Caenorhabditis elegans: one gene and its partner. The protein of the gene in region 2 interacts with the protein of the main gene of each other region in a biochemical or structural test. Each region holds a gene or a part of one and is shown on either strand. Other genes may lie near its edges. The genes, in order: mup-2 and tni-3.

The links.
Region 1: the proteins of tni-3 (region 2) and mup-2 interact in far-western blotting, tested with the Caenorhabditis elegans proteins (one study listed by BioGRID).

What each region holds. Positions count from the first base shown.
Region 1 is NC_003284.9:6,407,601-6,423,770, forward strand, and holds mup-2 (Troponin T), read right to left. Parts: upstream 2,628-16,170; 5' UTR 2,609-2,627; coding exon 2,586-2,608; intron 2,534-2,585; coding exon 2,465-2,533; intron 2,414-2,464; coding exon 2,302-2,413; intron 2,236-2,301; coding exon 1,858-2,235; intron 1,807-1,857; coding exon 1,600-1,806; intron 1,528-1,599; coding exon 1,099-1,527; 3' UTR 871-1,098; downstream 1-870. Other genes in the region: nssp-78 (Accessory protein 7b), read left to right, coding at 5,381-5,429, 5,682-5,839; T22E5.6 (uncharacterized protein), read right to left, coding at 6,562-6,780, 7,539-7,624, 7,673-7,822, 8,425-8,560, 8,642-8,800; K10C2.12 (Ubiquitin-like domain-containing protein), read right to left, coding at 12,509-12,618, 12,663-12,726, 13,019-13,109, 13,159-13,160; ctsa-2 (Carboxypeptidase), read right to left, coding at 13,529-13,975, 14,079-14,412, 14,458-14,535, 14,579-14,724, 14,773-15,097, 15,144-16,170. UniProt on the Caenorhabditis elegans protein: Troponin T is the tropomyosin-binding subunit of troponin, the thin filament regulatory complex which confers calcium-sensitivity to muscle actomyosin ATPase activity.
Region 2 is NC_003283.11:16,827,139-16,842,967, forward strand, and holds tni-3 (Troponin I 3), read right to left. Parts: upstream 7,991-15,829; 5' UTR 7,972-7,990; coding exon 7,915-7,971; intron 7,871-7,914; coding exon 7,742-7,870; intron 7,694-7,741; coding exon 7,355-7,693; intron 6,906-7,354; coding exon 6,648-6,905; 3' UTR 6,500-6,647; downstream 1-6,499. Other genes in the region: srh-216 (Serpentine Receptor, class H), read right to left, coding at 63-390; srh-214 (Serpentine Receptor, class H), read right to left, coding at 1,097-1,363, 1,421-1,830, 2,290-2,617; srh-215 (Serpentine Receptor, class H), read right to left, coding at 3,419-3,679, 3,721-4,130, 4,556-4,883; phy-3 (Fe2OG dioxygenase domain-containing protein), read left to right, coding at 6,178-6,385, 10,536-10,846, 11,098-11,248, 11,295-11,383, 11,736-11,933; clec-40 (C-type lectin domain-containing protein), read right to left, coding at 12,007-12,392, 12,468-12,596, 12,649-12,787, 12,950-13,092, 13,378-13,419, 13,462-13,607, 13,652-13,775, 13,872-13,923. UniProt on the Caenorhabditis elegans protein: Troponin I is the inhibitory subunit of troponin, the thin filament regulatory complex which confers calcium-sensitivity to muscle actomyosin ATPase activity.

The DNA of each region.
Region 1 (16,170 bases), on a different chromosome or scaffold from region 2:
AATACACTATCTGTAAACGAAAGCTTTCAATTTTTTTCATTCTTAAAACAAAACAATTCCCAATTTCTCATCAACTTCTATCCCAATTATTGAAAATTTATGCTCGTTAGTCTTTGTATCCCAATTGATTATTTCTTCTCACTTCAAAATTCTATTTTTCTGTTGTCATTTTATTGTACATTTCTCGATTTCCTGGTGTAAACTTTGTTGCTTCTCGGTTGTAATTCTCTACTGAAACCCAGTTCCTCACTGTTCTCGCCCCGTTGCTTTCATTTCTCACTTTGCGAAAAAAAAACATAAGCAAATACTATGAGGCCTATTTGTCAGACTTTCCAGATGTTCTTCCCAACCATAACTACTCCCCAAACTCTAAAAATTCCCCAGGTCGTTTTCAAAATTGGCCCCAGATGTGTGTCTCGTATCTGTTTTGCTTATTCAAATCTAACCAATAACTTTTATTTTTGAATTTGATAACTTGATTTTGAATTTGATAATGTGTATAATTTTTATCATAGAATGTTTTCAAATGCCTCTCTGATTAGTTTGTTACACACATCAAACTGTGGCGTGTCATGCCGATTTTCTCTCCTACCACAAAAAACTTTGCCCCAGAAATTCATCAACTTTGCTGTTGTAAGCAAATTTTTTCTCACCGCTTTCAAACGATTATTTTTCTCATTAGCTAGATCCCAATTTCTCATATTTTTCCAATTCCGTCTTAGTCCTTTCCTTTTTCAATTTATATTATTCATATATATTTTTTCCGTTGACTCGACTTATTCAAACTTTAATAATAAATATTATAATCAAAATTTGTCTTTCCACGAATTCTTGTTTTAATCTGTTTCATGAAATGCTTACAATTCGAATGGGAATGCAATTTTTATGATAAAGACTTTACTGATAAGCACAAACCGGAGAGTATGCAGAAACAGAGTACTTGAAGAATTGGAGAATTGGTTAATAAATTGGAAACAAATGCAAAAAGTTTTGATTGGAATATTAGAAAATGGATTTTTTTTGGTTGGGATTGGGTTTATTTTAATAAATTTGATAATCAAAAAATTGTGAAATGAAAAAAGGTAAAAAACAGGAAATTTATTCGACAACGACCTCTTCTCCAACATTTGGATCCTCGGTGACTTGTTGTGGCTCGAAGTCATCAGTTGGAACGAAGAGTGGGACTGGCTCGACTGGTGCTCTGGCTCCCTCAACCTTGACCTGCTCAACGTACTTTGGTGGCTCCAAGTTTTTGCGGATCTGCTCGAGTTCTTCGTTTTGCTTGCGTCCCCACTCTGCTGGTGGTCGTCCGGTTCCGCGGACGAGGGAAGCCTGCTTCTCCTCTTCTGGGTTCTCGAACAAGTACCGACGGTCTCCGTAAGATCTTCTGTCGGTTTGACGGTCGAACTTAGAAGCGGTGGTGATCTTTGGTGGATGGACAGAGGAAGCAGCCTCCTCTGGGTCAAGTCCCTTCTTGAGAGCCTTGTTACGGGCGGCTTGACGTTGACGCTCGTGTAACTCTTTCATCTGAAGTAATTGAAATTTGGTTGAATGTCACACACAATATCAAATAAGTCTCATTGAATAGTTTAAACTTACGTCATAGTCTTGACGTTCACGTCTCTTCTCCAAGTCGTACTTCTCAGCCTCGAGCTTGACGATACGAGCATGAAGGCCTCTGATTCTCTCCTTCAAATCGTTTGGAAGAAGTCCAGAGACGTCTTGTACACGGCAGACGGCGGCCAAGAAGTTTCTCTTGGCATCCTCCATCTGTTCCTTGCTCATGACATCCTTTCCTCCCTTAGCCTGAAAGTTTCTTAATTAGTATTCGATTTAAAAATGATACAATAAAAATACCTGAGCCAAGTTTCCGAATTGAGCAGCTTGGTCTCCCTTGGAGGCGACAGTGAAGTTGCGTCCAGCTCCGGCTTCAACTCTTCCGTTGAAAGCTCCAGCCATCATTTGTTGACGACGGACCTTCTCCTCGTTCTTGCGGATCTTCTCGGCATCAGCCTTAGCCTTGCGTTCGTCTTCTTCCTTGCGACGGCGCTCGTCATCTTGACGTCTACGTTCAGCGAACTGACGCTCGTCCTCTTCACGCTCAGCTCGGCGCTTCTCTTGCTTCTCCTTGAGTTCACGAAGCTCTTGTTCGATTTGCTCCTTCTCAAGAACACGGCGCTGCTCGTAATCGAGAAGTTTAGCGGCTTCCTCTTCCTCGTGACGCTTCTTGGCGGCCTAGATATGAATTTGGTTAACAATTTTATGAATGAAACGGAAGGTCTCCCAAGAAGTTATACTCACCAACATGGCAATCTCAGCCTCAGTCATCTCCGCTGGTGGCTTCTCCTCTTGGACTGGAGCACGACGCTCCTTGACCTCTGGTGGAGCGACTACTTCCTCGGTGGTCTCCTCTCTACAATTTCAGTGTTATACAAAAAATCACGAATTCAAAGCTTAAACTTACGGCTCTTCAGCCTCAGCTGGGGCCTCTTCGGTCTCCTCGACCTCCTCCTCCTCGACCTCCTCATCAGAGCTAAAAAATTAAAAATTAGAATGTCTAGAAAAATGATAGGTATATAACTTACTATACCTCCTCCTCGTCGGACATGATTAGTTAGGTTTAGGTTCTGTAATTATATGAAAGTTAAATTCTCAAAATTCAAAATCTCAAAACATATTGATAAGAAGTGATGACACAGAAGAAGAAGGAAATTTGAGTATGTGCCGGTGGGATGTTGAAATCGACAATGAAGAGATATGAAAGTGCTTGCTCCGGGAGGCCGTCGTTGGCAGATAAGTGGGAGGGGCTGGCGGGAGCGGGAGCTCTCAGGGAAAAGAAAAGTATAACATACGGACACAATCTGTGCTGTAAACCTTACACCTACGCAGAGTGAGCAGCCGTGCCCTCCTCGTGTGGCTCTCGTCTTTCTCTCTGCCTGGGGCTTCCCGCGGGCAGTCTGCGTTTCCTCAGAATACGCAGACTTCTGTGATGTGCTATCGTAGAAATAGGGCATCATGTTTCGATCCGAAGGCTCAATATATTTTTGAATCACCAACATTGATTCGAGAAACGGGTTTCTCTGCTTCTCTCTCGATCACCAAGATGTGCACTTCACTATCTCTTCCTCCTACGCTGACACAGACAAGGGACCAACAAGAGACAGATGATGATGAAGAGTTTGGACAAGTTGAAAAAAACAACATAGTTTATACTGGTCAATTGATAAAAATTTCTAACAAGTAGTTAATATGTTTTAGAAATTACTGTGATTTTCCTATTATTCTTGTATCTTCCACTGCACACTAATTCTAATTGGTCAGCTTTAAAATAATAAAAACGCGTTAAATATTTATGTGGTTCAAAAAGTTTTGTTAAAATTTAGGTAAAATACGGTAAACTTATTTTATAATTACGAATTTTCAATGAATCATCACTTTTATTTAAATATTTTAACGCGCAAATGAAAACGTAGTGCTCTTTAAAATTGATCCATTTAAAGTAAACAAATCATTTTAATATTTCTACAAATATTAAATTTCAAAATTCAATGTTTAGAAATCAATGATATTTGTGTAATAGTTTCCAATTTACCGAGGCACCTTGCCAATCGGCTATCATCTTTTTCCAACAAGCTCGTTTCCACCAAAAATCCACTCACAGTGGCCCCTGCAATAAGACAAGCGGGGCGAGCATACGAATAATATTTGGGTGGCACAATTGTAAAAACGCAAAACAATAATACAAATATTCTTTCTTTTCATTTGAATGCAGCTGATGATCTTCGAGACGTTTTCATTCAAATTCTTGTAAGCCAGTGTCAATTGGCCGTCTGGTTCAGTTGCGGGGATCCAATTAAGGGAATTTGAAAAATTGATTCTAAATAATAAATAAAACATTAATTTCAAAGAACATAATAATAAACAAGGCAAAAAAATTACGAAAAGTGTGTTCAATGTGGTGACAACAGTCCACACTAATTAAATTATTGCAAAAAAATAGTGTTATTCTAAGAAATACGAACATCTTTGTGAAATACAAAATAAATGTAGTAATTAATCATCAATTTCAAAACTTTAGTCTAATTAATTTGATATTAACATATGAGATCAAAGATATAGATTACATTTTCGAAAATGTCAAAAAATTACCCTTATTCAGAAAATGTATGTTTTTGACACCTTGTATTTTTCTTGTATTTTATAACATATTTTTTGAAACATTGTATTTTTGGTTTCTAACTAGCAAATTAGTCTATGGTGGAGTAGGGGCAGTGGGGTAATTTTTCTGAACTACCACTCTTATAGTACCAAAACTATCAAATATCATAGTAAAAAGTTTCAAAAACTCTTTGCACATATTCAAAAAATTGACACACAAAAAGTGAAAATTACTAAGTTTTTATCACTTTTTGAGAAAAAATAGCACAGTCGCATGTTCGAGCGAATAAAATGTTTGAATATTATTATTTAAAACATAGGTAGACCATGAAATTTGAAACAATTTTTATTTGGCCATTTTGGCACTATAGATTTTTATCAATTTTCCACAATCGCGCTATTCTACGCTTAATGCCACCGAAAACTTTTAGAATTATTTGTAATTCTGTAGTTAAAAATCTAAGTTTCACTCTGTGAAAATCATTTTGAACTATTTTTTAAGATATTAGATCTATTGATTAGCAATTTTTTAGATTATTTGTTGCTAAAAAGCTGTCATTCGCTAGACTTTAGGAATGAGAATTGGTGTTTCAAAAAATTATGGCTAAAATTAAGTCTTGAAAATATGAGTGTATATCACAAGCAGCTACCGTGTTTTAGCGCGTTTTCCTATTATTCTATAAAACACGTTTCAGAGATGTTTCTGGAAGTATTTTTGGCAACTGGTTGGAATCAAAATCAATTAAAAAATCTGATTTATTCAGAGGGTTTCAGTGACTTTCGACGTTTTTTAACCAGTTTTAAATATTACTCAGGTTATCAATAATCGTTTTATTTAGTTTTTCTTTTTATAGATTCCCAAGTTTACGAAGATATAATCTTAAACTTTAGTCGAGTCATTTTAAAGGGTGTAAATATTTTTTATTTTGCTCAAAGTTTCCAGGTTACTTCAGCTTTTCTATGTAAAATTGTTATTTTCATAAACACTACATTTAATACTTTACTGCACCACATTTAGACCCAAAAGTGACGCCATGCATTTCAACTCAACCCCATTTCTTAGGAGAGAGGCGGGGCCTAGTTCTAAAATTGGTATCTGTGGGTAGCTGTGAACTCGAGTGGGAGCCACACGCCTTTTTCGTCACTTTGACTTGTCCCTCTTGACTTCTATTAAGTTCTTTTTGCACCCAATTTGTTTGGTATTTACTTGACAAGATTTACTATGTCACCTAAATTCATCACACTTCTTCTGATTGCTTGCCTTTTTGCAGGTACGTTTTTCATAGTTTGAAAATGTTTCATACTTTGTTTTACGATACTTTTTTCTCATGCTGCATGTTGTACTTGCAATATTTCAATTTAAAGTATGTGTGTGTGTGGGAGTTAGTTAGTTACTTTGACTTGACAAGTGAAAAGAGTGATGTTGAAATTGAAATATGTAGGAAGTAAAAGTAGTTTAAAGTACCAACAACATATATTTAACACATTAATTTCAGCATTTATAAATATTGTTTAACTTTCAGGAGTATGCAGTAAATTTATCGCAATGATTGACCGAGCAGAAGTTGATCCTGAGGAGACTATAGACTTGGAGGAGGATCGCAAGGTGTGCTTCTGCTGTCGCGCATTCGTCTGCCGCCATCAATTATGTCCTTGTTCGCGGTTCACCGCTCTATTTTGATTTTTTTGTGTTTATTTAAAAATGAAGTGAATTAAAGTGACGTGTTTTTATCCACTCTTTTAACAAATACCGATAAACTTCCACCGAAAAGTAGCGCTTCATGCCTCAAACATGATTGATGGTAGAACAATACTCTGAATTTCTTTGTGTTTCTTCCGCATCTTTTCTTAGCTCCCATCAGTATGTAAACGAGCTTGCGAGGGCCACTTGGGAATCACTGGCAGCGTGATTGAGACACTAAAAACGACGTATTTTCCAGTCCTCGAAGATCCCGTTCTAGATATAAATATGTATTGCGTCATCATTTGAAAATGTTTTTATTTTTTCTGAAAATACATTTAGAAACAAATTGAGATCTGGAATTCGGCGGGACTGAACAAAATTTGAGCATTGTTAGTGTAATGTAGAACTACAAGGAAAGGTTTTCAACCCTCAGACATCAAATCGAAAACGGCTCAGTACCACTCAAAAACTAAAATTTCCGAAATGATAATTTACCCATAAACATCCTTAAATGTCGAAAGTCTGCCAAAACTGGCTGGAAAGTAGAGAAAAAAATTTCAGATCAAAACGGTTGGAGTTCAGAGTGCAGAATGCACATCTCTCGTTTTGATGTCTGTCGGGACGGGAAAATAAAAACCTTTCCTTGTTAGATAAAATCATCGGTAAAAATACATAAAGCTTCAGAAACATTGACAATATTTTGCTGAGCAAGACTCAAGCTACACCCTTCCTCCATGATTTGTCCTGACCAGTTCTACCCCGTCACGGTCACTCTCGTTCACATTTGATGGTATTGGCTGATGTCGATTGATAAGTCCTCTAAGACGAGTTTTCGATGCATCCATCTGCTCTCTAAACAAGAAGTAGAGTGCTCCAATAAATGGAAGTAGGCCACCGAGGAAGAAAAACCAAAAGCCGGATCCGATTTTGTATTTGTACTGAAAATAAAATCGTTTTGAATAACAAGAATTAATTAGCTAGGAAACAGTTAAAATATGTTTTTTGCTTCGTTTTACCAAAATATGTTTCTTTAAACTCAAACTTTCAAATTTCGTCTACACTTTTTTTTTTAGTAAAAAGCTAGGAAATTTCTATAATTTTCTGATATCAATAACGTTTTGATAAATTTGAAGTATCAAAATAATTTATGCGTTCTGTCTTAAAAATGTATGTAGGTTATTGAGTAGTGGAAGAATTCAGCTAAATACAACTTATATATTTGCTTATAATGACCTAGAATTCTCCAATTATTGGTGGGCTGGTAACCTTTCAGACCTTACATCACGTTTTGGTTTTTTTCAATGTTCATTTTTTCGTAGACATTTTTTGTGGGTGAAAAATTATTGATGAAAACAAGAGATTTTGGTAATTTAATAAAGTACTTCAAAATATATTATAACTTTATTTTCCTCAGTATGAAGTTTTTAAAAAAAGTAATCGTAAAAATCATAACGATTTATTTTTATCATATTTGCGTCAGATAACTTCAGCTTATGATTCTAATACACCCTTTCGAAAAAAGACTATTAAATTTGCAAAGAACACTCGTTGCAATACCAAAACACTTAAAAATAATTTTCATAGTACGCTTCGCTGAACAAACAGCTTATTGAATTAAAGGCTAGAAACCCTTCTGCTTCGATTGGAATATATGAAGTAACTTTATACTTTCTTTGAATCATCGTAAAAATCTTACATCTTCTTTTCTCAGAGACAATGGGAGAAGATTATCAGTGTAAGTTTCGTAAAGTACAAGTAGTAGGAGAATAATCCAAAGGCCAACTGCAAAAATAAGCATTAATAGTTTGTAGTCACGTTTTGGAACCGCACCTGGAACGAGCATTGCATGGAAAAATGCGAGTTTTCGCTTTTTTGTCAATTCTGTAAATGACTGGCTACAACAGTGTCCAATGGTATATGCGAGGTAGAAAATTTGAAACGCCAATATGACCAGAGCAATGTGGAATGTCACTCGAACAACTGAAAAATAAATATTTAGTGGAGAAAAATAAACTTATAATATATTTTTAAATAATACCTTTATTTTTTATTACAGCCACATCGAAACACTTTCAACTAAAGTTAAAAAACTTAAAACGTTTGTTTATCGTTTCCTTATTTTCAGATAATTCTTATCGAGATCTGCAATGCAGGCCAAAAAACAATTGGGACGACCTACATGCCTAATTATTGATTGATTTATTTATTTAACTTAACTTAATGTTTAATTATTATGATAAATTATTTTAAATCAATCAAAAAAACAGATTTCCACAATTTCTGGTTTCTAAAAACTTTCGCCGACTCAAATTTGAGCAATTGTTGAAAATGTTAATTTTCGGTTGTTTTGACAGTTTTTGATGATGCCAAAATTGCCAATTTTCATCCGTGACTACATTTTGAAAACAAAAAAGTAAATGTTGGCACAATTTGTCATCTCAGTCGTGTTCCAGAAAACAGATTCAGAAAACTGAGATTTGAGACACATTGAGCTTGAAACGTGAACTTTTTCGTATAGAGAAATTTGGAAATTTTTCATATTTTCGGCAATCGGGAGTTTTGGCAAAATTCAAACAACGTACCAGTTGAAGCGGCCAACACTTTGGTAAACGGATCTGGAAACTTTTCCGCTTTATCTTCAAAATCCCATGGAAGGCAGAAGATGTTCTCGTTTCCTGGTGCATTGTTACGGTAACAATCGTGTCCTCGAATTCCTCTCTGAAATATATTTTTAATTATTCAAGTATAACAACTTAAACACCCTATTCTTCTCAATTGAAATTTAACAAAATTACTTACCTGAAACTCATCGTTTTCGTTTGGTCTGTCCAAAACAATCCAAGCATTATTAACAATTCCAAATGACGTGAGCATAAGTGAAAAAACGAGACAACCAACTGATACTACAAAACGCATTATATCTGGACTCTCCGGAGTACTTGATATACTTCCCGGCATTGTGAAAAGCTGAAATACAGAAATTTTAATAAGTAAAGTTTGCGCTTTCAAAAAAAAAAAATTTCAAATTATATATAAAATAGCACAGAAAACATGAGGATTGAGGCCAACAGAGAAATCTCTTGGGAAACATTTGCATTTTGACTTGAGAATAGAGGGAAAAGTGAAAATAATTCAAGTTTGAAGATGGGATATCTACTTGCTTTTCGACTTGTTTAGAAATGTATGAATGAGTTTTGAATTGGTTTTTTTTTGCACTTGCTCGAATTTTTTATTCAATAAAACTGTTTTCATTTTCAAATACCTTATGTACAACAAAAAATGTTGTCTGACTACCAATTCCTAAGATATTTAGAAACAAGGATAGCTATACAGCAGTCTCTACCTGTCATTTCTCTCCCATTTCCTCTTCTTGTTAGATCGTATTGCCGTCGTGGAAATGTGGGAAAACGAGAACCCGAGATAGAGGAGAGACAGTAAGAAGCGTCTGCGATCTACATCTGAATAGCGCTATCTCATCCACCAGTTTCTGCATAACTTCAATGAATCAACAATAGATGCGCGGGAGACGCATTGATTCGGGTTGCAAGGACGCCAGAAGTCAATATGTTGAAATAATGAGACGTCCAGTTAATTTAAGATGGTATATTGTTTTGTGTACAACAGTTTCGAAAATGTTCTGTGTAAAACGGGAAAATCGAATTTTTGGAAAAATAAATAAATTAATAAAAAGTTGTTTCAAAAATATTTGCCAAAAATTGTTATAAATTTTTTCTTGAAATTTTGAAATTTTAACAGTAATATCAACAAAACAACTCGGAAAATTATCAACTTTGTTGATTCAAAATTTGTGGATTCAAATTCTCGCAAAACTAAAAAAATTTACAAAATATACCAGGAAAACTATGCATTTAAAAAATTTAGATTCCAAATCGCAAATTGAATAAAAAATTTTAATTAAGAACCATCCAAAAATCAATGAAAATTTTTGATTTTTGCGAATTAATGAAATCTCAAAACACAACAGGTGTTTTTCTTATAACAGTTTCTTTCAGAACAAAACAGTTCTTTTGCAGATCAAAATACAACGGAACACTTCAGGTGAAATTTAACAAAATGAGAAAGCAGGTGAAACAAAGACTTGAGTGAAAGACCAAGCAGTTTGTGTAACTTCTTGCTCACAATCTTATTTCAAAATCTTTTCCTCGCAATTTGCTCATCTTTGTCTCAGGCTCTGTCCAGTTGTAAAAAGTAATATAAAAACAGTGCTTTTTCATTAAAACAAATATCAAGGCAACTCTTCTGCCGGTTTTCATTGTTTGGTTTGAAAGTGCTTTTCTGTTTCAACCACCGAAAATTTTTTGATGAATCAGCTACTCAAGAAAAAGGAAAAAAAAACAAACTGATGAAGAGAGGTAATCCTCTTCTCCGTTTCCCTCTCAAGAAGTCAAAAAGCAATTGGTTGCTATAGTAGCAAAGCATATGTAGTATAGCAAAAAGAGTGCTGGACGCCACTTGAGTATTGACATTTTGAAGAAAAGGAGAAAGAGAAAACGCGTTGACAGATATAGCTGAGTGATGGAACTGCCCGTTGGAACATTTGCTGATAGAATTTAACTCAAATATAATTCGTTTGATTTTTTTTTCGAAAGAATCATCAAAAATTTCACAACAGCATCGCGTCTGAATATGTCTGAATAAAAAGTTTTGTTAATGAAAATTAGTTAAGAAAATATTTTCAAAGACATTTGTTTTAATTTTTTTTTCCTTAAAAATATTTTGAGCCCAAAAACAATTTAATATAAATGTCTTTAAAATATTTCACAGCAGTTTTAAATTTCAATTAAAAGTACCCAACATTTTTAATTTTTTTTGTTGTCTTTTCAATATTTTTGTTGGAAACACGTGAAAAAGTCTGGAGAGTCATTTGCAATTTAGATGGCACACTATTCCTTTTAAAGTAATTGAACGAAAAATTAACTTGCAAATATCAAAAATGGTCTGACGCCAGAAGGGGAAATTCTAACAATTTTTCCAAATTTCGGACATTTACCAAAACGTTGACTGAATAGTGTTTTGTTGAGACCTTAACGATTGAAAAAAAATTAAAAAAAAAAAAAACTCTCAACCACATGTTTTAAAACAAGTGGTGCAGGATCTGACAAAATATGGATGGGTGATTCTCCCTCTACCACCGAATTTTCCTGACATTGCTCTAAGTGATTATTGGCTTTTCTCCGATCTGACTCTTGCCCTTCAAGGTATAGCTTTCAAAACAAGAGAAAATTTCAAATCTGATATCAAGCAATACTTCGAGTCCCTGCCCGCTGGATTCTACAGGCAGGGGATCCACAAGTTACCTCAACGTTGGCAGGACGTTGTTGATCATGATGGAACATATAACTGATTTCTTGTTTTAGTTTGCTTCGAGAAATAAATGATTGAAAAATAGGACAGGACTTTCTTGCCAACTTAATAAAACTGTAATTTAAACTCAACTTTCAAACGGTGAATATCAAAATAATGTGCGTAAGTCATTGGTTGGGCATGAATTCATTAATTAGTATAGTGTTAACAACTTTGCGTGTTTAGTGTTAAAGAAAAAAGTAAGAATTGGGGGTATTCTACAATTGTTTTTCAGAAAACCAAAAAGCAAACAATTTTTGAAACGTGATATCAACAAGTTGTGCACCTTCAACAAACATTTCCGCTCATAATGAGATGTTACACGAAAAAAAGCATCAGAATCGATTTCATGGCATATGAAAGCGTTAATGAATAAGAAAACGAGAAGTGTCTCCTGCTCAACTCATCTTCATTCCAACACTTCTCGCAAAGCCAAACCTAATGAAAAGATTTCTTTCTTTGTCATCGTCGAATTGAAGAGAAGACAACGGAAAGAGGGGAGGGCGAGAAAATGTATTTTTCTGGCTGCAGAGGTCCGAGAGTTGCCAAAATTGACACAATGCTCAATGGTCAAAAGCAAGGAGCCAACAAAGTTGAGGCGAAGAGGGGTAATCAATTCAAGACACGCATGAATAAGAGATAGAAATCCAAGATTTCATGTTTCAATTTTGACTTGTAACAAAAAACTTTTTTCATAATTGTATGTATATACGTTTCTTTTTTTCACCCAAACCTGAGGCGTTGTTTTTCAGAACCAAAATAATCCCAAACTACCAACTTTCTTAGACCTTCTGTTAAAAAAAGTATGGATGTTTAAAGTTTTGGAAAAAATGCCGTCAGTGTTGTAAAACACGGAACTTGATTTTAAACTGACTACCGCCCTTTAATATATATTTTTGTTATCTATTACCCATTTTTCGTTAATTTAGTTACATTTTCAGTATATTGGTCCACAAAATAGTATCACATTTGCATACTTGTCTACTGAAAATACATCTTAATTAAGAAAAGAACACGTAATAAGTTACAAAAATATGCATTAATGGGTCATACTCAAAAAAAAACACCAGACAAAAAAAAAATATATATATATAGCTAAAATCTTATATTTCTGGCAAAATATAAGATTTTAGCTGAAAAAAGGCTATTTTTTCAAATGTTTCAAACGATATAGTTTTTTGATCAATGTTCAGAACATCTCATAACAGAATTCAAATATCACCTTTTACTAGTTAACTTGCTCTTACAGATAGATTCAAATCATAAATAAATCAATTTAACTTTATTAAGAAAAAAAACAAATCAAAGATTTGGCATGTCTTGAATCTCGACATAAGTTGGAGTAGAGTAAATAGTATATCCATCACGAATTCCGTATTCACGGAGTGGCTTGGAGTCCTCTAGGTGAGTTGCTAGAAACATTAGACTTTTGTAATTTTTTAGGTAAAAATCTTACTCCCAAAGACAATCCATTGAATTTGTGAAGGAACAGTAGTCATCTCTTCAATTTTAGATTTTGCCTGAAACAGTTTACATAGGAAGGTTTTAGAAGATATGAAAATTTATAGATTTTCTAGAATTTGAAAAATACTTTAGTATGATATGTATTTATTTTCAAAATCAATCAAATTTTCATTCATTTCTCTATTCTAATTAAAAGTGATTTGAATTTTTACTACATATGTAGGCATGCAAATAATTTGTTCCTAAGCTTTAATTAAAATAAAATAATTACTTTTCTGATAGGGGCATACAATAAACACGTATAATACTTTTGGTTGTCAACTTTATCACTCGAAGTGTAAAGCTTACCTCAGCTACTGTAGCATTATCTCCAAGGTTCAAATCAATAGTATGTCCTGCATACTTTCTGGTTTTGTTGTAAACGATAGCTTTAATGTGCCTGGAAATAATTGCGGTTAAAGTTTTGAAAAATTAAATAGAAAACTTACATCTTTATTTTGAGTGGCCGGTCAACTTTTCGAGACGACGCCACACTTTATATGTTTTCTAATAAGCTGCATTTTGCACAGAAATTAAAGTGCCTGTTCTGACCCGCAATTATCGTTTTTGTGTCCAAACGTTCTCGAATTTTTGGATAAACATGACAGTATAATTTGGGCTAATCAAAAACAAATGGAAGAATAGAAAAATAAGAAAATACGAAATGTATTCGTGCATGATGTTAATATTGGTTTTTATCTGTGTTTAAATAAACAAATACCCATTAAATTTTGAAATGTTTCATTAGAACCTGGAAGTATTGAATATTCGGATTATTTTTTGAACACATATAGTATTTTACAACAGGAAACAATTATTTTACAATAAAAACTTGGTAATCAAAACGATAAACATAGAGAAAGAGACCGATAAAACTGAAGAAGTTTTAGTGGTAGTAATTACTGGTGCAGCAGTTGCAGTTGAGGAGACAGCACCTGATGTTGGAGCAGATGAAACTGGCACAACGGTTAAGATAGGCCCAGTAGGTCCTGCTGTTGCTACTGAAGGAGGTGGTAGAGTTACTGGTGACTGATTGGTTGGGCTTGGCGTATTTGTTGTTGAGGAGACAGCACCTGATGTTGGAGCAGATGAAACTGGCACAACGGTTAAGATAGGCCCAGTAGGTCCTGCTGTTGCTACTGAAGGAGGTGGTAGAGTTACTGGTGGTGCTTGAGTTACTGGTGACTGATTGGTTGGGCTTGGCGTATTTGTTGTGCTGGTTGAAGCAACTGGAGCACTTGTTCCAACTGGTCCAATTCCTTGTTCCTGCAAAACATTCGCTTTGACTTTTATGTTGTGGGTTAAAAATAGACTGATCAGCAAATTTTTAAAATTATTCTAATTCAAGTAATGATCCCAGAAAACTTACAAGGAATTGGGCAAGAAGTGGCTGGCGCACCATACTAACAGCAATTGATGTGTTATAGTTTCCTTGCCCATGGACAAAGTTGTTCATCATTTGAAGAACTGGTCCTGGACGATCAGTTGGTGACATGTGTCCGGCTCCCTTGACAGTCAAAAGGTCAATAGTCATGTTGTTCTTTTGGAATTTTTGAACGTATCCACCAATTTGTCCTCCGTACATCCACGATCCTCTTGGCTGGTTCGAAACAAACGTTTGAGCAGCGGCGAAGTTGTTGATCATTGACTCGGCTTCGAACATTGAGCACACAGAGTCTACATCTCCGTTATAGATTAAAACCCTGCAAAAAATTTATTCAATAAAATGTTGTTTTTCACCATTTTACTTGAGATTATAACCGCTGTTAAGAATGTCGGTGAATACTTGAGTTGTGTCGTTGTAGAGATTAGCGTAGTTAATTTTGCTGAAAAATAGCTAGCATTGAAAATCAAGAATTACAAACTCACTTGCAGAATCCCCATCTTGGAACTGAATCCGGAATATGGAGTGCATCACGGACGTGAGACAAACTTAAATAGTTGTTGATAGCTCCTAAACTCCAGCACGAGTATCCCCCAGTAGCATCAGTCGACAATGGATCTTGTGGGGCAGTCTGAAATCATATTGGTTTTTCGTTGAAACTTTCTATTGTAGTACAAACCTTGGTAATAGCCTGTGGAATAGAAGTCTTCAACTTGTGGTCCACGTCGAGCCTGGAGAATTTCTCTTTCATCGCAAATGGATTTGCCTGGTCTCTTGGTGTAACATAGCAATCTTGATACAAATTATACTGATCGTACAATGCCTTCCAGTTTCTGTCATACGACAAGTTTTCAACAAGGTTCGCGCAGTCTTGAAGTGTCTGGTTGTTAGGGAACTGCTTGGCAATTACATTGACTCCAGAATCAATTGTAATGTAGTAGTCATAATTGCAGTCACCAGAAGAATCAGCTGATGGGCAGCAAGCACGAAGCTTCTCCCACATTCTGAAAATAAAACAGTAAATCTAGACGGTGATCATGAAAATCCTACGGTTTATCGTAAATTCCGTGGAAGTAAAGGAAATCTGGAAGCGTTCTGACATCGTTCACAGCACTGACCATTCCATTTCCAATGCCCATACCACGAAGCTGAATGTTAGATTGTCCAGCCTGGATCTTTTGAATCAAAAGTCTAGTAAGAGTTGGAACGTATACTCCACCATATGATTCTCCAGTAATATAGAGCTCGCTGTTTCTGTGTGGTGGATAGGTAACGAAGAAATCTTCCAAAGCGGTGTAGGTGTCCAAAGCGGTCTTATCGTCATCCCATGTTGTATCGTTGTTCACGTTCTTATCTTGATATGAGAATCCGACTCCTCTTGGAGAGTCAATAATCAGGATGTGAGCAGCCTTGTTCCAGGAGTAAATGTTTTCAAAAAGAGTTTCGCCATCAGGGTTCACAAAGAATGGTCCGATTTCGGAGAAAAGTCCTCCGGTTGAAGCACATCCTGGTCCTCCCTGAAGCCAAAGAATGATCGGATCTCCTTCATTTCCGGACTGTGATTCGACGAACCAGTAGAAGAGCTTGTTTCCTCGAGTTGCTTGGAGATAACCCGAGTGTTGCATAAAGTTGACGTTCCATGTGACTCCTGGTAGAGAGAAAATGTGATCAGCCTTTCTACGTGGAACTGTAACTGGAGCTGGTTGGTATTGTGGAAGAAGTTGTTTGCGAGAATAGTCAAGAGTCAAGTTTCTATTGTAATCCAATTGGTTCACAAAGTTGTAAATCATTTGAAGGGCTGGTCCCGGGCGATCTTGAGGCACAAAGTGTCCGGCTCCCTTAACCGTCAGTTGATCAAAGACTACCTTGGTGTTCTTGGCAGTGTTGGTGTAAGTGAACTGTTTCCAATAACCTCCGACACGGGGCAAGAATTGACCTTGTGTGTAGTTCCATGGCCCATGCTGACGGGTAACAGCCAAACCATTGTCCTTGGCAAGTTTCTCGAGGAACCATTGATCTCCCAAAAATTGGCAAGCCATATCAACATCTCCGTTGTAGATCAAGAATCTCAATGGAT
Region 2 (15,829 bases):
TAAAATACACCAAAATTTAAAAATTATAGATTTTCTTGCAGAAAACTTTTTAAAAAACTTACATGCCCCAACAAGAACCACAAAATAAACTTGAGCTTCAACCGAAACACCAATTTCCTTCAAAACTCCTAATGGATACCCGGCGAGCACCGGGAACAATACATATGGGGTCGTGAAGAAGCTAAGTGATAAATCGAATATACAACTGAACACGTGAACATTCATCATACTCCATTTAACCGATTGCATAGTTGGCGGAGTTTTCAGTAGAACACAGTAAAAACCATAGACATAAACTGGAACTGATATAACACTAATTGCATGAAGAACAGTTTGTTGAAAATCTGCTGTATGAATATAGTCAGTACGATTGCAATAGGCATACGACATTGCACTGAATAATAATTTTTTGAAGAAAAATAAAAATATCAAATGACCAGAAAGCCAGTTTTTTGTTTATGAGTAATTCTTGTCATTTTCGGAGAAAATTGTCTTCTTTTTCTTGTTCAAAAAGCTCGTTTCAGCTTAAAAATTGCTTTTCTGTCTGTGGAAATAATCATAGACTAGCGCATGAATGTTAGTGGCGATAATATCATACTCCACTTCTCTGGTTACTACAACTTGACCAATAATTATTCCCATTTCCTTTGCAAGGTTCGTATGATCTTAGAAATGAGAACTATTAGCACTCAACAGGAAGAAAGTGTTCGAGTTAATTTTTTTTTTAGATAAACCCTTTTTTTTTTGGAAAAGGAACTTTTAAATAGGACCCTTCAAAAAATTGAACCGCATAGGAGCACTTTGAACTGGAAAAAAGTCGAAGTGATATTTTCAGAATATTTTCCCATTTTGAAAATGGCTTTGAAACTTGTTTTCTTACATGTTTCATAACAATATAGAGAGCCAATATAAAACGTTTTCAAACAAATAAACGTCTGGAAATTTCTGGAAACTGTAAAAATTTTTGCATAAAATTAACAAATTTTTAACGTCTTTTTTGAAACCAAAAGATTTTCTATAAGACCAAAAATTTTATTGCACACATGAAATAAAAATAAGATTTAGAAAAAAAGGGAGCCAACACGAGATAAACTCGTCACATATTAGTGACCATCACACTTTGCGGTGCAGTTTGATTGGACGACGAAAAGTCCAGACGTTTACAAAACGGGAATAACTGTTGTGTATACTCCCGGTATGGTGTATGAAGAGCTATCATGGCAATTGTTGAGAAGAATCCATGAGATGATATTATAATTATTGTGATGTTGTTTAATGCCTGATTGTGGAACGCTGACTCGGCGAAACAAGAAAACCCGACATAACAGATTGGTAAGAAGACGATGATGAATGGGATGAGGAGCTGAATCTATAGATATGAAGCTTCTAACTCAAATCTTGAAGGCTTTTATAGGCTCACCTGCAGAATGAAGGCTCTCTGAAACTTCCTATGCAAGTCCACAGTCTTCTGTGACATTGTCTTTGTCATTTGCTTCTTCAACATCCGATTCGTTATAAATGCAAAGAACCATACCTCAACAAACATTGCAACTATAAATGAAGCACATCCACCCAGAAAATATCTCTTAGTAATTGCAAGATAGAAAACTTTCTTAATATCTACATACGGTGGAACACATTCAAAATGGTCCATCAAATTTCTGTACCCGGCTTTCTGGTCGGGAATGTTGACCAGTGCCGGGAGGAAGATTATTGGAAGGATATAATGGAGAATGTAGATTGGAGTACGGAACCGTTGAAGGGTTTTGTCGGAGAGGACAAGGACGAATAGGCGGTTTTCGAAGACGATGGTGATGGAGACCAACATGACTGAAACGGGTTAAACTTGAGCACTAGAACAATTTTCGGTATTTTCTGTGCCAAATAGCTTAGAAGTCACCCGACCAAGGTTTGAAGAAAGTTGAAAAAAATTTGGATTTGGCAAAATATTTGGCAAAAATTGGCCAGAAAACACAAGATTATAGTTTTTAACGTCCAGGGTATAAATTGAAACACTACTGCTTTTCCAAAATTTCAGAGAAATTTTCAAAAAAAAGGCCTGACATAAAAAGTTTTAGAACCACTTTTTTCTAGTTCTTAGAGTTTTTTGCAGCTAACAATTTCTGTCGTAGCCTACTTGAAAGGTCCTATTACAATTCACATAAACTTCATTAGGGAGCATAAACTTTTAAAACTAAATTCCTTATTACTTTCGCCTGAACTTCAACTAACAAGAAAAATTTGAAAAATGCAACTTTCTATAATCAAATTGCCAATAAAACCACTTACATGCTCCAACAAATAACACTACGTACACTTGAATTTCAATCGGTACTCCAAACTTCTGCATAAGCCCCAATGGATATCCAGCGAGTACTGGGAATAATATATATGGAATCGTGAACAAACTAACTCCCAAATCAAAAAGACAACTGAACAAGTGTAAATTCATCATACTCCATTTCACAGATTGCATAGATATCGGTGTCTTTGCAAATACACAGAAGCCTCCGTAGCAATGAACAGGAATTGAGATATAACTGATCACATGGAGTACTGTCTCAAAAAAGTCCGGAGTGTAAAGGTAGTCAGTAATGCTGCAGTAGTCGTATACCATTACAATTGAAACAAAGTGAGCAAAATCAAATAATCAAAGAACCTTGTTTAGAAAAGTTGTCTCAAAAGTCTTTGGAGAACTTGAAAATTGGCTCGCGGCAATAATTATAGGCATGCTATACATAACTGCTTGTTTTGAGGTTTTTTGGTTTTTCCTGAGTAAGCGATCAGAAATGCAGCGCGCGGTGCTGTCTGGGTGCAATAGGCACTTATGTATTTGAACTTTATAGAAGAGAAGTGAAAGCCCACGAGTCTGGGTTCAGAGATTATTGTATAGCTTGTGAATTTGGCCGAAAAATAATCTACGTAAAAAAAACAGATACCATTTTGCCCCTGGACCCTTGGACCCCATGACTCCAGGACTCAATTTATGTTCGCAGGTAGGACATGAATGAGAGGCAGGCGCGGTTTCAGGGCCTGACGCCTGCCTCATCGCCTCAAGTCTGCATTCTGTCGGGGAATCAAAGGCTTGGTGTCTACATAACATAGTGCAAAAGGTGATTTTTTCGCTGCGGCCGACACTTTTCAGGTTCCTCGCCGCACTATAAAAAGGCGCAACTTGTGGCGCGAAGCAGGCGTTTTGGGGCCTACATGGAAGCCCTACCTGTGGGCTCGCAGAATGACGCTTCTCTTATTTTTGATCCAAAAACTACTTAGAAATTGAGATTTTGAAAAATCTATCAAATTTAATACGCTTTATTATTGATGTCGATTTCTTTAAAAAAAGATTTTTTTCATTTTATACAGAACAACATAATTCAAAGCAAAGAAATTCTGGAAACTCATAATTTATCCCAAAATGTCACATATTCGTCACCATTACACTCTGCGGTGCAGTCAGGTTTGTAGGCGAGGAGCTCAGACGTTTAAAAAATGGAAATAACTTCAATGTATATTCCCGGTAGGGAGCATGAAGAGCTACCATTGCAATCGTTGAGAAGAATCCATGAGATGATATTATAATTAATGTCAAGTTATTGAAAAACTGATTGTGATAGTCAAAGATCGCGGTGAACCCGATGTAGCCAAGTGGAACGAAGACGATCAGGAATGGGATGAGGAGCTGAATATGGATATAGAGCCATTTACATTTTATAGACTCACCTGCAAGATGAATGCTCTTTGAAACTTGCGATGCAAGTCTACAGTCTTCTGGGACATTGTCTTTGTCATCTGCTGCTTTAGCTTCCGATCAGTCATATATGCCAAGAACCAAACTTCCAAGAACAAAACCATTATGAAAATTCCGCAACTTATAAGAAAGAATTTCTTGACAAGGATCAAATAGAATACATTCTTCAGTTCAACATACGGAGGTACACATTCAAATAAATTGATGAAGTTCTTCTTACCCTCTTCCTGATCGGGGATTTTGATGACAGTTGGAATAACTATTAGTGGTATTATATAATGGATAAGGTAGATCGGAGTGGCGTAGCGATGAAGGTTCTTGTTGGTCATTACGAGGACAAACAGGCGGTTCTCAAAGACAATACTAATGGCCACCAGTAAGTCTGGAAATTTTTAGGATGGTTATTAGGTGTTTTACTATTCGTTTAAGTTTTTAAGGTCCTTTGGTTTTTAGCATGCTTTCCTTACTAGCCTTACTAGATAACCCTGTGAAATTATGTTGGCCGATTGGCTTGAAATTTATGTTATTTGAAAGCTGATATCATAAACTGTAAGAATCTGACTTTCATTTCGGCTTGCAATTTTCACAGAACCAAATTTAGATCAGAAGTTAATAAAGTTTGGGCTAATTGCGACCAACATCATTTTTTAATGGCATTTTAATGTAGGGAACAAAATTTGGGTGACATCAATAGGCCTGTTGAAAAGGTCAAGTTATCACAGTGGGCCGGCACTCTAACCCCAGCTACCAGGCCAAGCCTACATATACCGTGCTCAAGTAAAACTACAGAGTTCAGGACAAACTTACATGCTCCCATAAAAATGATCATGTAGACTTGAGGCTCTGTTTCCACACCTAGATACTCCAAAAAACCCAGCGGATATCCAGCCATTAACGGAAAAAATACAAATGGTGTCGTCAAAAAACTCAATCCCAAATCCAAAAGACAACTGAACAAGTGAACATTCATCATACTCCACTTCACGGATTGCATAGATATCGGCGTTTTGAAAAATACACAGAAAACTCCGAACACGTGGATCGGAATCGAGATAAAGCTGATGACATGGAGCACCAATCGTTGAAAATCGGCAGTGTGTAGGTAGCCGGTTTGGTTGCAATAGGCAGGCGCCATTTGATCATTTGTGTAACACTACTCAAAATGTACCTAGTGAAAGGAGGAGGAGGGTTCAAACTTTGACCGAAATTTTCAGCTGCTTGAAATCATTGACCATGCGTGAAAGTTTAGAGCTCAAAGTTGAAATTGTGTACACTCCAAAAATAAACCGCCTGGCATTGGTTGGCACTATGAGTAGTTATTTCACCTGTAAACGTGAACTGAAGTTTTCAGATATCTAACGAAACTCCATAGATAATTTCAGGTCAACTCGAAAAAAAACTCACTGAAATTCCAGGTTGTTAAAAAATTTTTTTTAAAAATTAAATAATATGAAATGATAACTTGGAAGATATACAACAACTAGTCGGAACTCAGTCTCTTGTTAGCGAATTCATTTTTTTGCAAATGCCATATCCGAGCCCGTTTTGGCAATGATAATTGCTTTTCCATTCTTCTGACAACATAATTATAGCACCCCGTATATGCCAGAGTTGATAATTTCACACTAGAATGTTAATAATAAATGGCGGAAGTTAGACAACAACGCGTTTTTTCAGTCTACTTTTTTTGAAACATCACAAATCGAGGACAAATGTTCTCAAAGGTAAGTTTTTTACACGCCTGCCTGCCTAAAGACAGAATTCACCTGAACATTTTGAAATCTATTTGTTGAGCTTTCAGTAATCAAATTTGTAATATGGAAAATGCCATTGTTTTAACTTCACTCCAAAATGCAGACAAAGAGATGTAGGGCAGGTAGGTAAGCAGGCGTGAAGGCGCGGATGCCTAGTTTTTGTGTTTTTGAAAATTTGTTGCCCGTTATTTTAAGAAAACTGAATTTTTTGGAATTTTTCTGATCCAATGTTTCTTAAAAATTTCCGACAACATTTCAAAAATTTAACTTTTTTTTTTGAAAAAAAAGAAGCAACATTTTTAAAACAGAAATATATCCAAAAATACAAAATCCTATTTGAAAAAAATTTACAGATCCTTTGAAAATATAGCTTTCAAATTTAAAACTGTCAATTTAAGAATTAATATATTTTTTAACGTTTCTAATAAATTAAAATCCCAAATATATTTCAGCGTGAAAAAGTTCATTGAACCTTTTCGACCCTTTGCTCCATTTATTCTCCAAAAGTTCATTTTGCACAATGTGCTCAGTACGTGGAAATCGGGATAAAACTGAAGTTGCATTTTCTGCCGTCGCCGGTATGTTTTCTTTTCTGTTGTTTTTTTTTGTTTCGATAAACTTTCCCACTTTCCGCTTTTTCCGCAACTTAATCATATTTATTTTTAGAAAACCATCATGATTTCTGTCACTTTCCGTCAAATTCTGGGTCTTGTTTCTCTACTGTGTGCCACGTGGCTTTACAGCCAATGCAGACATATTTGGCTGCTCGCCCAGGACGATTTCAACGAGCAATTCACGAATTTTTTGGGTGAAAAATGGTGGAGCACGGATCAGTTGGAGCTTTGTGATGATGAGACAAAGGACACGAAATGGCAGAAAAATGGTGAGTGTCTGTGTGTAATCGCGCTCCGTTGATAATTTTATATTTGGTATATACCGTTTTTTTGTCCGCAGAGCGCGCTTGCAGCAAGGCTACTTAGCAAAATTTGGGGGTTTATCAGTTTTCAAAAGATTTATTTCAATTTCTCTCCATTAACTTTCATAAGTAGCAATGAAAAATGCGATTATCATATTTAATTTTTTTTTTGACAATAAAAAATCAATAAGCTCAAGCACATAAAAATCTACAAAAAGATCACCACTTCTTATTCCTCTTCCTCCTCTTCTTCCTCTTCCTCTTCGGCTTCTGGCTCTTCAGCTGCTGGCTCGGCGGCTTCTGGTTCTGGCTCGGCCTCTGGCTCGACTGGAGCAGCTAGTTCCACTGGTGCAGCCTCTTCTTCCTTCTTCTCTTTCTTGGACCATTCTGGTTTTCCGTCGGCGGTTCCCTTCTTCTTTGCCATGATTTCGTCGAGGTCCGTCTCCTTTTTGACCACTTTCAGGTTGTTGCGGAAGTTTGATTTTTCCTGAAATTTATTGTTATTTGGTGGAAATCAATTGGAACAATTTGAGAACTTTAAAAAAACTAAAATGTTTTTAAAAAGATATCGGAATATTTTTCAATGGAAATTTTCAGTCAAATTTTTCTTTCCGAAATTAAATAGTGGTTTGCCGTGTTTGAGTTGAGCATTTTAACATTTTTTTACACAATTTTAACGCATTTTTGGTGTTTTCTGCATTTGGCACGAAAAGTTGTTGCAACCGACAGTTCACGGGAATTAGCGAGCTTTGGGTGATCCCCAAAGATGTCGGCTGCATCTGTTTTGCAAACGCAATAGTTAGATGCCCACATTTATAGTTTGCAGCCGACACCTAACTGGTCTGTTCAAAAAATTTCAAAAATTGTCTTGCAGCAGCCGACACCTAACGAGGCTTCGAAAAGTTTCTACAAAATTCATTATTTCCAATCTCTCACCTTAACTTCTCCGGATGACTTGAACTTGTTGTCGTACTTGGACACCTTCTTCAATGTTGGCTTCACAAACTTTCCTCTCAAGTCATTAACTTGAATAGTCAACTGATTGATCTCTGCCTCAGTCTGGGATACTCCGAAGTTGATATCGAACTTCTCCTCCTCAAGAGCACAAACTCTGGCGAACATATCCTCATAGATCTTCAAGAGTTGTCCCTGATCATTGATCGAGTCGACGTCTGGAAGTGGGATAGTACGCTGCTGAAGGGTCTTCTGACGTTCTTGCTCCTTGAGCATTTGCTGTTGCTTCAAGTCCTCGGCGGCTTTCATCATGAGAAGTTTCTGGAATTATTCTGATATCTAAAAAGTTACAGCCAAGGCTTTACTCACTCTAAGCTTCTTCTTTCTTTCTGGAGTCAAGAAACCCTTCTTCTTGGATCCCTTCTTTGCTGCCTCCTCCATACGCTTACGGACTTCGGCTTTCTTGAGCTCACGCTCTTGAGCCTTGCGGGCGGCATCCTGAAATTAATTTTAAGTAATCTGAAAATTGAGCAACTTCTTACGTCCTCAACATCAGCCTGAGCTCCGCCGTAGCGAATGTTCTCGTCTTCAATCAGCATTTTGGCGGGGAAAAATGACCTGGAAAAGTTGATCTGTGAGAAGTGGCAAGCGGGGCGGGAAAGAGAAATTGAGCAATAAATCTTGATTAGTATGTGTGCGGAGCAGGAAGGAAAAATAATAGCATATGGAAGAAGTTAGTAGAGAAATGGGATTTGAGAATTAGAACAAAGAACATAAAATGTTCTGAAAGATACTACGGTAACCTAAAGAGGCCGACGCAGCCGACCGGTGGCGGCGGCGGCAAACCCGGGAAATGTCGGCTGCAAACTAATTTTCAGTATAGGCTTAGATATCTGCAGCTGACACTTAACCGGGTGTATTTTGTACATTTAAAGCATCGAGACATTTTGTTGAACCCGGCAGATGTCGGCCGCAAGTTTCCATAAAACAGAGGTTTTTGTAATTTTTTCCAGCCAAAATTTTAAGACGTAATAGATTGTGAACCCGGGAAATGTCGGGTGCAAGGAAATTAATTTATATTTAGATGATACGTTATAGCAGCCGACACATAACTGGGTTTAGCGGAACTTTGGGAACCCGTGAGAAATCAGCTGCAAGCAGCTTCGATAGTTTTTAAAAAGTAAAATGTTGTCGCCGACATTGATACAATTTAGTTTAACCCAGGACATGTTGGCTGCAAGAAAGTTTTGCAAAAAGTGTAAAAAACAAAAACAAATCTGCAGCCGACATTGAATTGGTTTTCACAAGACCAACAGTTTCCAATGCATCCGACATCTCACAGGGTTTTCCAAAATTCTATTAAAGCTTGCTGCAGCAGACTGAATTTTACGAAATATTCACAAAACCACAATTCATAATGGCAGCCGCAAAAAACCCGGCCGATGGCATATTAATCAGGCTAGACAAGATATACGGTAAAAAAGTAAGACCTGGAAAATCAAAAAGCATGACGTAATCTGATCACAACGAATGGCAGAATGAGTGAATCAGGAGGAGAAGACTGAAAACTAAAACCAAAGTTTAAAACATGTTTTTCCTGCGGAACCCCCTCCCTCCCTGTTTTCCCCTGCTCTCCGCCTCCATCTTGTACTCTCTCTCTATCTCCCGTCTATAACTTTTGCTCCTACTGCTGATGCACATATTGCATACGAAACAAAACGAAGAAGCGAACAGTGTAATAAAACAGGGCGAAAAAGAATGGCGGAGGCGGGCAAGAAGCACTAGTGAAAACGGCGGTAATTCAAAACCCATCATCACTTTTTGCCGCAAGATAGAAACGACATGTGTGTGTGTGAGCCTAGAGCTCTCGGAGCTCTCACGGGAAAGCTTTGGGAATACTACTTACTTTTCTTTTTCTGTGGTAGAAAATGTGCTAGGGGAATTCGGAAATTAGCAGGAATTCCCCGGGGGAATCCCTTTTATCAGACCACCGGTGCCAATCAAAATGAGGATCAATTTGCAAAAAAGAGAGATATCAGAACAGTTGTTGCCACCACATCAATTGTCGCAAATTTTGAGGTGGCAAAAGATTGATGATTGGGAGAAAAATGGGAAGTCTGGAGGTCAATTTTGGGTTTTTTGAACATTTTTTGAAAAAAGTTAGGAAAATTTCGGACTTTCGAAGTTAAGTTTCAAATGATTTAGAGCAAATTTGAAGGAGCCAGGATTTTTTTTCGCGTTTGAAAACTGATTTTCGAAGGCTCAGAGCTTTCCAATTTCATAAAAATGAAATTAGTTGTAAACATTTTGAGTTTTGTTTTTCGAGGCTTCTTAGAGCAATTTGGAAAATACTGGAGTACAGTTTGAAGGTGGATTTTGAGAGCTAATTTTCATAGAATACTACAACTAATTTGAAAACTGTTTTTTTTCAATTTTCTGAGCAAATTTGAATGTTTCCAGAATTAATTTCAATTATTTCAAGCTCCTTGAAGCAAATTTTTTGATTCCTATGCTTGTTTTTTCTGTGCCAAACACTCAACAAGAAATCGGAAGCATATGTGCTCCGATCAGCACCGCAGCTTCCTCATTTTGATTTTTTTTCGAGAATTTCTGAGCTTTGTTCCGAAATATCATTAATCAGGCATAGATATCGAACAGAAAAAAGGGTTTCTTCAAGGAAAAAAGCTAATAATTTCGAAATAGTTGTCCCTGATCAACATAGAAGATTGATGTCTAGAAGGAACATGATATGTGGGTTGACAAGTTTTTTTTTTCACGGACGTTTTTGCTCAATGAGCACACTGGGCTCAGATTTTTGCCGGAACTTTTGGACAACCTTTACGGAGAGGATACTTGGCTAGTAGCTCCTCTTCCGGGCTACATGAAATAATTTCAGGCCGGAACAGGCTTTTGAGTAGTCCACTATTTCTGAAATCTGCCAGCTTTGCTCTCTGCACTTGCCAATAAAATATGTATAACCACCACAACAACTGACGTAGTGAAATGGAGGAAACAAAAGTTCAGAGATAATAAAAATGATGGGTATGAGTGACACAGCTTGCAAAATACTTTGGAGAATTTTGTAGGGGCACAGGTTGTTTTGTTGCGGATAATTTTGTACTGCGGCTTTAAAATTCCAGTGAAATTTATTCTGAAATTCCAGATTCCATCTGCATCACCTACGTCTACAACATGCTCCCGGTCGACATGGAAATTATCAGTTGGGCTCCGACACTTGTGATCTACCGTAATCTCATGAGCCCCCGCCAAACCGCCAGTTTCTTGAATTTCATCGAACAACGTGATTTGGAGATTCAGAAAACGTCAGATTTCGGGACATCGATAGAAACGACGCATCGACGGGCCAACGGTAGTTTTATTCCGCCGGAAGATTCGAATGTTACAGTGGAAATAAAGATGCAGGCTCAGAAAAGGATTCCCGGCTTGAACCTTACCGTTGCCGAACATTTTTCGGTATGATTTTCTAAAATAATATCCAGATGTACTCAGTTTTAGACTTCCTGATTTTTTCTAAAAGTTCCAAAAAAAAAACACTTTTAAAAATTTTTAAAAAATTTGTAATGGTTTACAAAAAATTCCAGAAGTTTCTGGAATATTTGAAAATTTCAGATACTTTCAGAAAGGTTGAAACTTTGCTCCATCTGAAAATTGAATTCAAAATTTAGCGCTAAAATGTTGGAATTTTTCAAAAATCAACTTTCCAGGCCCTCTCCTACCTGCCCGGTGGTCATTACGCAGTGCACTATGACTATTTGGATTACCGTAGCAAACAGGACTACGACTGGTGGATGAACAAGACGGGAAACCGAATTGGAACTCTCATTTTTGTACTGAAACCTGCTGAGAAGGGTGGAGGTATGTGCTGTCTTTCGCAGGACATTGAGCTAGCTGTATTTTACAGGCACCGTATTCCCAAGTATTGGTTCCACAGTTCGCGCCAACGCTGGAGACGCGTTTTTCTGGTTCAACGCACAGGCTGATGAAGAGAAGGTAACTAGGGCTTCCATGGGAGGCAGGCGCGGTTTCAGGACGTTACGCCTGCCGTAAAACAAAGCCAGCGCCGGACAATTTTTGGGTTCCGCGTCGCACTATATGAAAGACGCGACATGCAGCGTGGAACAGCGTGGTTGTGGTCGCTGGAAGGCCGGCGCGGCACCGTGGTCCTCGCTCGATGTCGGCTGCGGATGTAGGCTCAGAAAAAGTTTATTTGCGGATAGATAAAGCCACCTGTAAGCTTGCTAACTTTGCTCCCAAAATGTAGAAGACGCGGGGATCCCGCCAAAAAAAGCCTTGGCTGCGGATCAATTTGACTTCTGTCAGAGTCTTATTTTGAATTTTCCAGGAGATGCTCAGCAATCATGGTGGATGTCCAATCTATGAGGGCCGAAAGGTGATCGCGACTATTTGGATCCGTGCCTACAATCAACGTATCCTTCCGATGGCTCCAGCTGGCTCCTCCATACATGCTTCGTGGCTTATACCGTCTCTCTCAAACAGATTCCGTCCGGAAATGCAGACACAGTCGCCAGTGCCCAATTGATATTTGTAGAACAATTTGAATGTTTTTTCTTTCTTTTTAAAACTCGAAATACTGGTAAAATTTGAATATTATTTTATTTACAACTGACACCCGTAGCCCGTTTACACAAAAATGTGGATACAGTAGTGGAACAATCTACAGTATCCCAGTCTCCTCCATCACCAACATGAAGTACAATACAAGAAGAGGCAACAGTTCGCTGAGAAGTTTTAAAGTTCAAAAAGTTAACTGGAGAGCCATCAAACCACCAGATCGATTTAGGTGTAGAAGCGATTCCGCCAAGAATTATACTTGTGTCGGAGAACTTGTAAATTGAAGTTAGGTAGAGATTCTCGGTCACTGAATGTACAGATGGGAGATTGGAGCATTGAGCTTGGCAGATTCTCTGAGCATCCGGGATGGTGGCGGATTGGTCGACCTGGATGTAACAGTGATTCTTGTAGTTGTTCGTGCAGTTGTCTGGAATTCGGAAGTAACTGTTTCAGATGCGGCTTAAAATTAAAGGCCGCTCTGTCGTCTAACTTTGAGCCGTACCTGACGTAGTTGTAGGCAGCTCACAAACAAACGGCAATTGTTTATAACAAACTAGGCTTTCCCATTGACCTATTGAATTGTGTGTAATATTATAAGAAACACATATTCCGGTGTCCACATTTGGGAATCCTGAAAATTTTTCATGTCTTGAACTTGAAAAATCCTGTAAGATATGAGAAACCGGGTGCAAAATCATAGTAGGTGACATTTGAGCCATTATCCCACTGACAAGATGTGACACTTTTCCCATTGCAAATTAACCCCAACCATATTTGAGAGATTTGGTGGATGCTGAGGAAAGATTGGATTTTTTGGTTCTCCTGAAACAAAAATTATTTTATGGTAATATTATTTTGTGTCAGCTTTATGCCTGCCTACATATCTAACTACAACCTACTTGATGGTACTAGGCACAAGGCATGCATAGGCGGCCTTGAAGGCAGGCAGCGTGCATCAATTTCCGGCCCTAAAACCACACTCACCTCTGAACTCTGAATTGTGAGGAGAGTGGCGCCAAGTCGATTACACGTAGCTTCAGCGGTTGGTTTACTGTACAGAGTTGTATTTAACTGGAGACATTTCTCATCGATCAGCACAAAATTGTTGGTGCATATTGGGACTTTTTCTGTAAAAAATTAAAATTATACTTTTAGAGTTCATAAATTACAACACATTGAAAAATATTTTTCAGAGGTCAAACAGGCAGTTAAAAAAGTCAATTCTAACAATGATTCTGCACGGTCCCTGCCTTTCACGAAAAAATAATTTAAACTCCATTGCACCCACAAATAAAACCTCATCGTTCGTGTCTTATCAAAGTGTGACTGAATAAATGTTATGTTAAACGGTCTGATTAATCGGATTATAATTATTTCGCTTGATAGTGTGTTGGGAGGAATTAGACACTCACCTGATGAAGTGGTAGGCGATAAGGTTGTCACTGCAGTCTCTCCTGCAAGTAACGGGAATTATCACGTCATAAATTTTCACGAACCTCCGTGAACATTCGGTTGAACCACAAAAAAGAACATGAACAAGAAGAAGGCAAGAATTAGAAATACGTTAATAATTCCGATAAGCATCATTTTCTTGAATCGATTATTGACTGTATAGTGAAGTATCCCGAAATGACGTTGACGACTGAAACTGTTTCAGATACATGTGCTTATAATGGAGAAACTAACTCTCCTGGCTCAAACTCTGATTTCGGTGGATCATAAGCGTCAACGATTGTTCTCTCATTTGGAGTCTCGTCTGGCTCGGTTTCTTCGGCAGACACACTTGGAATCGAGTAGTTTTCTGGAGCATCTGAAATGCCTGTACATACTTTTGTAGTATCATTTTTAAAATGTAGTTGTTTTTCAATGATAAATAAAAACTGATATGTGATTTGAAATTGCATACCTACTGCGGTTGCCCTTGAAAATCTGAAAACCTTTCGGAGACCGCTTAGCATTTATTGATTAAAAGGGTAAAACAAAGTTAAAATTGTTGCAAATAAAGAGAAATTGATAAGACTGATATGGTGACGATGAGTCGATTTTGTAATTTAACACTTATTGACCTAAAGTTTTCTCAGTTCGAAATTCGGCGCTCAAAATGTTTCATGTTCCAAACACATTCTGAGCCCGAACTTTCTCAAAAAAAAAACCCCGACTTTGGCTTGTTTCCTAAAAATCTTCAAACTTTCTGAATTGTTTTATCATGATTTTCAGTTATTTCATTCTACTATAAGTGTATTATTAAGACCAAACGGCATTTTTAAGATAATTATTTTCTCGTATTTCCCTTATCACTTTTGCCTTTTTAACAAAATGTACAACTATTTTATACTAATTAAGTAACAATTTGTGATGTCATCGTCTCACCTGTTTGAAGAGCTAGAATGTGATCAACCTGAAAGCCAAACGTTTTTTAAAAAGCTTCAACTTGTCGATGACTGGAGGAACATATTAAAAAAAGGAGTATTTTTGACTATAATCGTTATCTTTGCGGTTCTATTAACCTATTTTCTGGCAAGAAAATCAATATGTGAAACAGGTTTAGAAAATAGTAAAACAGAATAAAAATTTATATCTTTTATAGGGATTGCCACAAGTTCTACTTTTTCTACGTCCGCTACTTTGCCAACTCCAGGTGGGAATGTAGTGAGCTCTTCATTTCTAGGTGTCGGATAAGGTACGGAAAATACTTGTTTTATCGATGGTATTTTCAGTTGCGGGGAACTATTCTTGCGCTACTGGGTTTACATATATCAGTCATAAGTGTTGGAAATTGATCACTGGCCCACAGAATAGAACAGATGCTGATCATGCTTGCTTTAATCATAAAGGATCAACACTTTTCTCAATTAGAAACGAGCAGGTACGGAAAAACACAGCCAATTTGAGTCTTAAACTTAATAGTTACAGGAAAATCAAGATGTTTAGGAGTTTGTGAAAGACCAGTTGGTTGAGAACCTGTGGACCGGGCTGGTCTGTCGTAGATATGAACCGAAATGGTGTACTTGGGATGTCAAAAGCGGAACCACCGCCGACTACGACAACTTTGCCGAAGGCAATTCTAAAAATTAATGAAACATCTACAATGTCGGTTTGCAGGTTCTTCAAATAATGAATATGGAGACTGTATTTATTATATAACTACTGGAACACAAGCCGGCAAATGGGCAAGTGCATCATGCAATCAGGCGTTGAGTTTTGTGTGTGAGCTACCTGCAACTATTTATGGTAAGGTTTTACGACCACCTTACTGTTAAATTAAAATTACAATATATTTGTTTCGTCGTGAATGTTTATGCCACACACACATATTCTACAGTATAGATCATAGCTACTGTAACGCTGTAAAATATATAGTTCACCTCCATTCACACTATAAATTTTAGATAGAACATGCGAATACAACTACAACAATCATTGCTACATCCCAAATTTGGAATGGAAGCTCTCTAGCGAGGCGCAAAGCTATTGCACATCATTGGATTCTAATTTGGCTTCAATTCAGTCTGCAAATGAAAATCGCTTCGCAATGAGCTTATTTTCCCCGAGAACAGCAATTGCAATTGGTGGAGTTGCCGTTTCAGACAACTTTGTTCTATGGTATGATGGAACAAAAACGACTTTTATCAATATAATCGAGTTTAGAAGAGGGAGTTGTCTTTTCATTAGAGGTGATTACGGAGGACACTGGATAGGTTACGATTGTCTGTATGACAAAGCTGTGTTCTTGTGCAAGCGAAACATTTCAGAAAAGTAGAGAATAAATGTGTTCAGTGAATGTTTACGGATTTTAACATAACACACAGTATTTAGCTCACAAGCTAGTGTTTTCTTTCAACACTTTTAACCATATTTTAACCA